Drosophila melanogaster: one gene and its partner. The protein of the gene in region 1 interacts with the protein of each later gene in a pairwise test. Each region holds a gene or a part of one and is shown on either strand. Other genes may lie near its edges. The genes, in order: eIF4G2 and eIF4E3.

What was found.
Region 2: the proteins of eIF4G2 (region 1) and eIF4E3 interact in a two-hybrid assay, tested with the Drosophila melanogaster proteins (one study listed by BioGRID).

Annotation. Positions count from the first base shown.
Region 1 is NT_033777.3:23,815,986-23,821,045, forward strand, and holds the start of eIF4G2 (eukaryotic translation initiation factor 4G2), read right to left. Parts: upstream 3,253-5,060; 5' UTR 2,996-3,252; intron 2,835-2,995; exon of another isoform or gene 2,627-2,834; 5' UTR 2,242-2,626; intron 1,046-2,241; 5' UTR 1,027-1,045; coding exon 1-1,026.
Region 2 is NT_037436.4:8,227,150-8,231,249, forward strand, and holds eIF4E3 (eukaryotic translation initiation factor 4E3), read left to right. Parts: upstream 1-2,074; 5' UTR 2,075-2,232; coding exon 2,233-2,284; intron 2,285-2,349; coding exon 2,350-2,608; intron 2,609-2,674; coding exon 2,675-2,749; intron 2,750-2,803; coding exon 2,804-2,903; intron 2,904-2,966; coding exon 2,967-3,054; intron 3,055-3,111; coding exon 3,112-3,272; 3' UTR 3,273-3,419; downstream 3,420-4,100.

The DNA of each region.
Region 1 (5,060 bases):
AGCTCCGTTCAGTGCACCGCTGCGCGAGTTCATCATTGGAGCCACATTTGTCGGAGCGGGACGTTGGGCATTTCCTGGGGCCATGGTATATGCGGTAAAGTAGTTGGTATGTTGGGCGGTGGGAGTAGATCTTTGCCCTCCGCGCATATTGCCGCGATGTGTATTGGCACCACTAACCACGTTGTTTCCAGCAGAGTTTTGAGCGTTCGGCCCAAGTTGGTAGTAAGCTAGTGTCGGCGTTTGAGCAGCTCCCGGTGCCCCGCCTGGACCTTGTTGTTGAGCAGTGGGAGGAAGCTGTTTCTGTTGTGGAGGAGGTGGCGCAGCCGCATAGAATGAAGCTCCAGCCGCTCCGTTAGTGGGAAAGGTCACAGCTGGCTGCATGCCCATCAGAGGTCCGGTCTGATTAATTGGTATATAGGTGGCGGAAATGTAGGGTCCACCCGCATTTCCGCCGGCAGGTGCGATCAGGCCAGCTGATTGTTGAAAGTGGGGTGGTAGAGTTGGGTTGCTCAGGGCACGAGGCATGTTTGACCCCGGCGCCACGCCATTTGCTCCACCATGGTGACCACCAGTAAGAGGATGTCCCAACGTGTTGGAACTGGCGGCGGCGCTCAGTTGGAGGGTAGCGCCGCCGCCGTTGGCACTGTTGTTAACCGCCGCGGAATGCGCGGCGTAGGACGGCTGGGTATTGTAGAAGATGACCGGCTGGTGGTGCGCCTGGGCCTGGGCTTGCACCTGCTGCTGTTGTTGCTGTTGGATGTGTTGCTGAAGATGAGCGGCGGCGACGGCTGCTTGTTGTTGGTGTTGCTGCTGCTGCTGTTGCAGTAAGTGCTGCTGCTGGTGGTGGTGCAGGCCGCTGTGGTTCGGGACGAACACTGCGTGGGACTGCTGCTGCTCCTGCTGTTGCTGGAGGTGATGGTGGTGCGAGTGCGTCGCCTGGTGATGCTGGGCTTGATGGTTGTGGTTCTGCTGATGTGTCGACTGTGGCCTGGTTCCCTTCCCACCCCCTCCCTGTTGAGGGAACATAGGAGGACCTTCGAAGGATCTGCACACGCATACAATCGCACCGTCACACGCACAGGCACACACGGAGAGTTAGGAAAACCGCGGCCAGAGCAAAACAGATGTACAAATCGTAATGTTAGTAAGATGGAAATGAAAGTGAAAATGGAGTTGGCGATGTGGAAAATGCTTGGCGTATTAGGTTTTCAGTCAAAGCCGTGAGTACATGCGAATGAGAGTTAAATCAAACGTGTGCAAAAGCAACCAAAAATGATCATGCAAATTATGTGTTTACATCTTATGACTAAGGGCTATTTTACAAATGCACTCCCTCTTTTACCCTTTTCTTTATTCTTTAATATTTCAATCAATTGAGCTCTTTAATTGGAATGTGGTGTATGATGTCACTCGCGGGGCGTGTATACATCCAAAATGCTTTCGAAGATGGCTCGACACCTTATCGCGCCGGTTTTATCAATGGACTAGTCACTTGCGCAGCCTAAATACTTGTACATAGGTGACACACGGTAACAAGTGGCGCTATTAGTCAGTACTGGCCTTAAAGCGGAACAAAACAAAGGCAGCCACAAAGAAGCAGCTGCCAGCGAGCGTAGGAGGTGAGCTATGGGCTGCTGTCGTCTTTATGGCTACAACCAGTTTGGCATTCCGTCAGCACTTCCATCGGCACAGTGGAGACCGCAAGAACTAGATCACTTAAAACTGTTTACGATATGATTTCTTTTAGTTATAATACTACCAAACGGAATTTCATTGTTGTTTTGCTAAGCAAGCGTTCAATGCTGATTGATAAGAATATGAAGACAAACATTGGCCAATATTCACTGTGGTGTTCTCTTTGGAGCTCTCTGCTGGCCTAGAAAAACCAACTCCGCTGCAGTTTGCGGCCAAGCACCTTCAAGCCAGAAGAAAACCAGTTTTCCAGCAGACGAAGTACGTGCATGGCTCTTTTCACTCCATGGCGAGGAAAACGAAAACCTGGCTGGCAGATAGGCTCACTTGTTTCATGTTTGTTTGTAAACAAAACCAGTTGGAGTGTGTGGGTGCTGCTCTAAATGGGATCGCGATCGCTTATTGGGAGTGCATTCGTACTGGAGGCAGTGTGTTATAGTAGTAGTAGTGTGTTATTAAACTAATAAACAAACAATTAATGTAAATTGCGTGAAAAAGCAAGCAAATACTAGAATGGGAGTAAGTTGTAAGTCAGATTTCGAAACTTACCGCTTCCTGTGCTTCGATTGGTAGATGTGATGATTATAAGGGTATTCGATTTATCCTATTTCTTAGTTCCTAAGGTAGACCTGCCTTTAAGCCTATCCGGCTTCCCTTGACACCTGGTCAAGCTCTACGCCTCCTCCTGCTGCTGCTTATTTGCTCCTCCGTTCCTTTTTCCTATTTCTCGTGGAAACTCCTCGTCTTTGTGGTTGTTGGCTCTATCCGGAATACTACAATAGCTCAGATATTCCATGTATAAAAATACTCCAATTCACTGTGATGCACATGCACATCTGCATTTGTGCAGACGGACGAGGGGCACGTACACGTACATGCGTACAAATATACAAAATAACGTACGGCTAGTGCTAAAATTTCACGGTAATTTGTTCTGTAATTAAAGGCGTTAGAGGAAGTTAAAACGTATGCTTAAATTTTGCAATTGCGAGGAATCAAAATTACAATATGATGAATATGAACACCAAAGCAGCGCCTGCTACGAATTTATTCCCTCTCCTTGTCCAGCTGAGCAGCCTCAGCCCCGGATTGAGAATGAGAAATGGGCAGCCAAGTGCCAATTCGTAATTTGACACTAATGGCAAGGGGACTTTTTGTAGGTTTTTAACCTTTTTCAGATTTTCAGGTAATACTTTTCCCCGAAAAGGCGAGGCGTTGGTTTATGTTTTTTTACCGTTTTGACTTTTTGCCGTTCGCTCTTTTTTTGCGCTCTCTCTGTCTCTGTCTGGCCGCCAGTACTTACCGTTCTGCTCCTGCTCGCTAGCACGCTCTCTCGCTCGCACTCCACACACAAAACTGAGGAAGGAAACAAAAAAAAATGCAGTTCCACGCGGGGAACACGCCAAAAAGTTGCTCTGGCACTGCGCCTTTACATTAGTGCATCGTCTGCTTCACCTCGTTATGTATACACGGCTCACTATCTGTTACAAACAATTTTGTAATGTAAATAGTCTGCAGAAACACGTCCGTTTCGTTTGATGAAATAAGAGTGACCGTTGCACGTAGGGATGGAACATAACTCGATGGCGGCAGCATCGATGTCTACGCAGCGAATATCGATTGTGAAAGTTCCAGAAATATCCCGCAGGAATATTATACATTTTAGTGCGTCCTCAAACCGGGGTGGAGAACTTGGATTCAAGCTTGGCGCGTAATATTTTGAACGTTCTTCATCATAAGAATAATCATTCTTTCGAAATAGAAAAATAGGCCTTATGCAGGTGTTATAATAACAATTATTATATAATGCGCATTGTGGTGCATGACGCAGAATATCATATAAATTCCACACATATTTCGCTGTTATTATTGTTTATTCTAACTTTACATTTTAATTTGAATGATATATTCATAATTTACGCATTCGTAGGACAGCATATGCGCAGAATCCTGTTTCCATTCCATTCGCAACTTCCGGATTGCCTCCCCTTAATGCTCTTAGACTACCCCTCGTGCAGAAATTGCAGTGTTTACGCGCTTGTAGTAAAAGTTTTGCTCTTTCTGTTTTGCCGGATGCGCAACGCCCTCCACTTCCCACATAATCCTTTACTCTGCGCCCTCACCTCCCTCTAGTATCCGTTTTTCCAATGCTATACCCTTCTCTACTTATTACTCCTTATCTCAGTATACACTATGGCCAAAACTTTAAAGTAAAACGAGTGCAAGAATGAACTCGGAGCCTTATTGCAGCCTAAAAAAATTATATACACATAGAGCCCACAAACAGAGTCTGAAGGGATTATTTGGTGGTTGAAAATGCAAAAAGACTAGACCGCAAATGCAAATATTTTAACTTGGCACAACGAAACCGCATACGGACTGTCCGTATTTTGCATTTTTTTTTTTCCATTTCAGTTGTGAAGTCATTTGCAATGCTTGTTTTCCTGTGCGTACTGTCATGTTTTTGTGGCCTTTGCGGTTGCACTAAAGATAGTGTGAGGACAACAGATGAGTAAATGGACGAGGCTCTTACTTTTTTTCAATAATTTTGCTCTCAGCACAAACATTTTGAATATAACGGTCGCTGAGTGCGCTACCTGAGCGGCAGGTTTTGACAATACAATTCGAAAATGAAATTGCAACACTTTCCGAAATTTGGATCAAAAAGATACGATTTTTAAAGTTTTATTTAAATTTTATACATTTTTCAAAGATAATATCGTCTTACATCTTATTAATTTATTTAAAAGTATACTTATTAATTGAATCCCCCTTAAAAAAAAAGCCTCTGCTTTTTGGTATATTTTGAACCCATAATGATTTAATTTGGTATTTCTTTCAGCACCGCATGGTATCTTTCGGGGACGCGAGTGCAGCCACACCAAAAGCGAATTCCTTTACTCCCGCTGCGGTCACACTAAGTCCGAAGCTTGATTCGCCCTGACGCGCGTAACGCTTTTTTCCCGCATCACTTTCCTCCACTTTGGCGCTGAAAAATTCTGCACAACAAGAAGAGAATGCACCAAACTGAAATTGCAACCGACTGCGACTACTGCACCTGAGCCGGTTACGAAATCAACTCTTATATTACTCATATAATTTTGGCATCCATGTAGAAACGAATAAAAATAGTGCGCGAACTGAAAACCCGTTAAAACGAGAATGGGCATAGCCCAAAATAAAACTTTTTCGTTTCTTTTTTACCGTTTATTTAACACAATCAATTAAAATAAAACCAAACACAAGATTTACTCAAAGTAAATCGCGTATAAGCTCGACTACCATAAATGTTAATGTGAAAATTGTGCAATAATTAGAGAAATTTCTAAAAGAAATTCATAAGTGCGGTATTCGTAAATTGCATTGTT
Region 2 (4,100 bases), on another chromosome or scaffold:
CCACTGCTTTTTATTGTTTTATGTGGCTGTCTTTGCCCGCAGTGGATGGGGCGGAGAAGCGGGAGTGGAGGAGAGCATCTCCTCCGCTTGCCACTTCAAGGTGCAAAATGTACGACGTGCGTCGTTCCGTACATCATCGCATGCTTTGTGCTTTCAGCACTGAAATCTTTTACAATCAACATGAAGCAGCAGCAAAGCAATTTTGTAGCCAAAAAAAAAAAACAAATAAAAAAAAAGAAGAAAAGACAGCCGAACGGAAGCGAAACGAGAAATGGCGGGGTAAAACCGGAGCGAACATAATGCCTCAAATCATTTTCATTTCTTGCATGCGCTTGTCTGCACAGAACTGCCTCAAGATGAGGTCCTAGCTCTTGGATACTTGAGTCCTTGGATCCTTGGCTTCTTCTTGTAGTTTGCCCCATTTACGCGCTTTTCCCCTTCGTTTTCCCCGGCAGTTTGTGGGCGTTTTTACTGCTTCGGCACTCAAATCGCTTAAGCTGGTGCGGGAGCCATCCCCCCATAGACTCCCTCAACATTACAATATTTTAAAAGATTTACTGACCATGTATTTTCAGCTCAGCCAGCAAAGTGCAAAAAGCTGTAAAATATTGCGTATACGCCAAAGTGCCACCTGAGAAGAGCGGAGCACAAAGTCAAATCTAACAAAGCATAGCTAAGCGTTTGCCGGCAACTTAACTCGAATGGGGGAGAAGCCCCAAAAAAAGAGTTGGAACTAAAGTTTTCCCTCTCGGGAATTTATGGGCTACCAACTCCATTTGGAGCAGGTAATTTTTAGTTATGGGATTCAAGGAATAAACAGGCATGTCAAAAAATATAAATATTAAAAACCAGCAGTAGCTGAAAAAGTTTTATCTATTGTTTAAGTGAAGAGAGGAAGGGAATAACGTGCGATACGAGCTTATAAAATGTACTTTAAGTTAAGATAGTCTAGATATTAAAACACTTTCTAAAATTTTACAATTCCTTGTTTTAACTTATTCTCCCAATTAACGAAACAAATTTGGAGCAGTTTTTTCCTCAAAAAATCCCAGAAATACGAGCTGGAGCAGCCGCCAAAGCTGCTTAAAAGCAAAAATAAATAGAATTTTTAAGTAAATTGGGGCTGGCAACTTATTTGGCTGCGAGAACCAAGAACAAGGAGCAGTGCCAACACTTTTGTTCCAAACTTGGCCGGCATAACTCACCCGTGCATCCAGCAGATGGAGATGGAAACGGAGATGGAGCTGGTGCGGAGCATCTTGGTTGGAGTGCAAGTTGGTGCCACCGCACCACCAGCCGCGCAACAAATGGTGCACATTACAAGGGCCCAAAGCTACTTTGCCAACGCCAAAGGAGCTGCCACGTAGCGACTCACATATTTTATTATCTGCACCGCCGCCAGGGGCGTGGTGATGGGTTCGGGCAGGGGTGAGGTGTGGGGCTTTGCCAAAGGACTCCGGCACGGAGGGACCCAGGACCTTGTGTGTGCAACAAGGCGCACAACTTAAGCGGCGAAGACAAATTTTTATTGCCACAAGCCCAAGTCGATTTCGATTATTGACTGCAGGCCAAACTGTTGCACAAGGAGCAGCCAGAGCAGACAAGAAAGGGGGATTCCTCTACTCGCTCCAGTTCCATTCCCAATCGTATCCGTCTTTCCGGCTGCCAACTTTGTGTGGCCGTGTCTGTGTCTGTGGTTGCTGTCGTCGTCGCTCATTTGAGTCACATTTTATTATTTTCGTGCATTTATCGTATGCTCGGTGGCATTTTATTTTATTAGCGTGACATTTCAATTGATAGACCCTCGGGCTCGTACTTAACCGACTCAATTTGATTTTGCAACCAAAATGTGCGAATGGGAGCTGCAATATCGGAGTGTTTGAATGGGGTGCTTAAGACTTGGATACAAGATTTATTGATGAAATAATGGCAGGATGTACCATAAAATATTTTAAATAATAAAGGCGATAAAGGGATAGAGTCTTTTGAAAATAAGCATATTACGCAACGAGATGGTCACATGACTTTTCCAATACTTTTTCATAACCAAGGTGGCAACGCTTTAGCTGTCATATCTTGATTTGTCAAAGTGTGCACTCATGTTAAGCCATTTTCATTAACGCTTATACTTTGCACGAGACATATACCATTTCAAGGAGTTTTTTTTAGTAAAATAAAACGAGAAAACTAACAAAAAAAGGTTCGTTTATCGCATTGAATCAATAAAAAACAATGGTGTACACCGGTTACGTAAGCAACGGATTGCAGAATGCTGAGGAAACTGGTAAGCTGACAGCAGATCTTTTTTTTTACGATTCATCATTCGATATGCGAATCGAATATATTTAGCATGGGTGCCGTATGGAGATCCCAATGACTGGTCACATGGTCTGGCAGTTTATGATGGTTTGGAACTGATGAGCGGCAATGAGGAGGAGTTGCAGCCCTCATTGAACCGGGTGATGAAAAACATCGACTACGACCTGGCCATGAAGCATCCATTGGAGCATACCTGGACTTTGTGGCACTTGGAGAACGATCGTACCAAGCGCTGGGCCGAAATGCTCGTCGATGTGACCAGCTTCAACACCGTTGAGGACTTCTTCAGGTCAGACACAGATTCATATATATATATATATATCCTATATATATATATCCTATTCTATTTCGACAGTGTGTACTACTTTGTGAAGCCGCCATCGGATCTGAAGATATTCAATGACTACATGGTCTTCAAGAAAAATATTCGGTGAGTTCTGAAAGTCTGCTCTTTGAACCTCGTCTTATGTATATAAATATTTAGTCCCATGTGGGAGGATGACACCAATAAGAACGGTGGTCGTTGGATACTGCTCCTGGACAAGGCCTCCAGGACCTATATAGATAAGATGTGGCACGATTTGGTAAGCCACATGATTGCACCATAATTATAAGCTCAATGCATTATAAAGCATTATCTCCTTTAGCTTTTGTGCATGATTGGCGAGTGCTTCCAGCACTCGGACGAGATATGTGGAGTGGTCATCAATGTGCGCAACAAGGCTAATAAGCTATGTGGGTATAAGACAGCATTTCACATTGGGGTATCTCTAAGGTCAACTTTCTTTACAGCCCTTTGGACGAAGGACTCTCGCAATGTAGAGGCTATCCTGTCCATTGGCAGGCAGATAAAGGAGCTGCTGCATCTGGGCATTATGGAAATCCAGTACCAGGTGCACAAGGATGCCATGGTGAACCATGGACCCAATGTCAATGCCATCTACACATTGTAGGCCAATTTCCAAGGGCGCCATAGTACATTTCCAACGATAGTACATAAGCCTTATACATTTGTCAAACTCACATTTTATCCCACGCGCACCAATGCTTTTCGAGATAGATATCGGTTGTACCATGAATAAAGTATTGCGTAGAGCAGTAGAAACAGTAACTACTTTCTGGCCACGATTCGTGTGCCGGTATCCCGAGGCTACTATAGTCGCCTCACGTATTCCCCGGCGGAGTGGGAAACACATACTCGCTTCACTACGATTATCCTTGGCGTCATAATTTTGGGTGACTCTGCCCATCCTTTAACGGCTGCCATCGCGCGCCAAGTGCTTATTCCTTCCTATGTGTGTGCGTCGTCCTTTCAGGGCTTTTGTCTTCCGTGCTGCTGCGCATAGCAAATTGTGACCAATTTATGGAAATATGCTCGGGAAGCGCAATATCCTCCATTTCCAGGGAAGTGCTGCTAGTGCTCCTAGCAGGTTTTTCATTCTATATTCCAAATATATATATATTCCATATTCCAAAAACTAATATTTCAGATAGTATTGCCGGTATTCCTGGAAATCTCAGCACCTATGATATGTATAATATTTCTGCTCACATACTAAATGATATTTGAAAGTGCAAAATATTCAGACCCTGAATTGTCATCACTGATGCCCATGTAAGTCGTATGATTTGATTGCTGTAATTTGTAAGGATTTTGCTTTTATTGTTTTATTGAATTATGAAGTGGCAGCCACCAAATGACTGGAACGTGATACACTGCACATGGGGTTATGTCAGTGCCAATGGCAGCGTATCTCCGACATCCTGTCCAACCTCCCGGC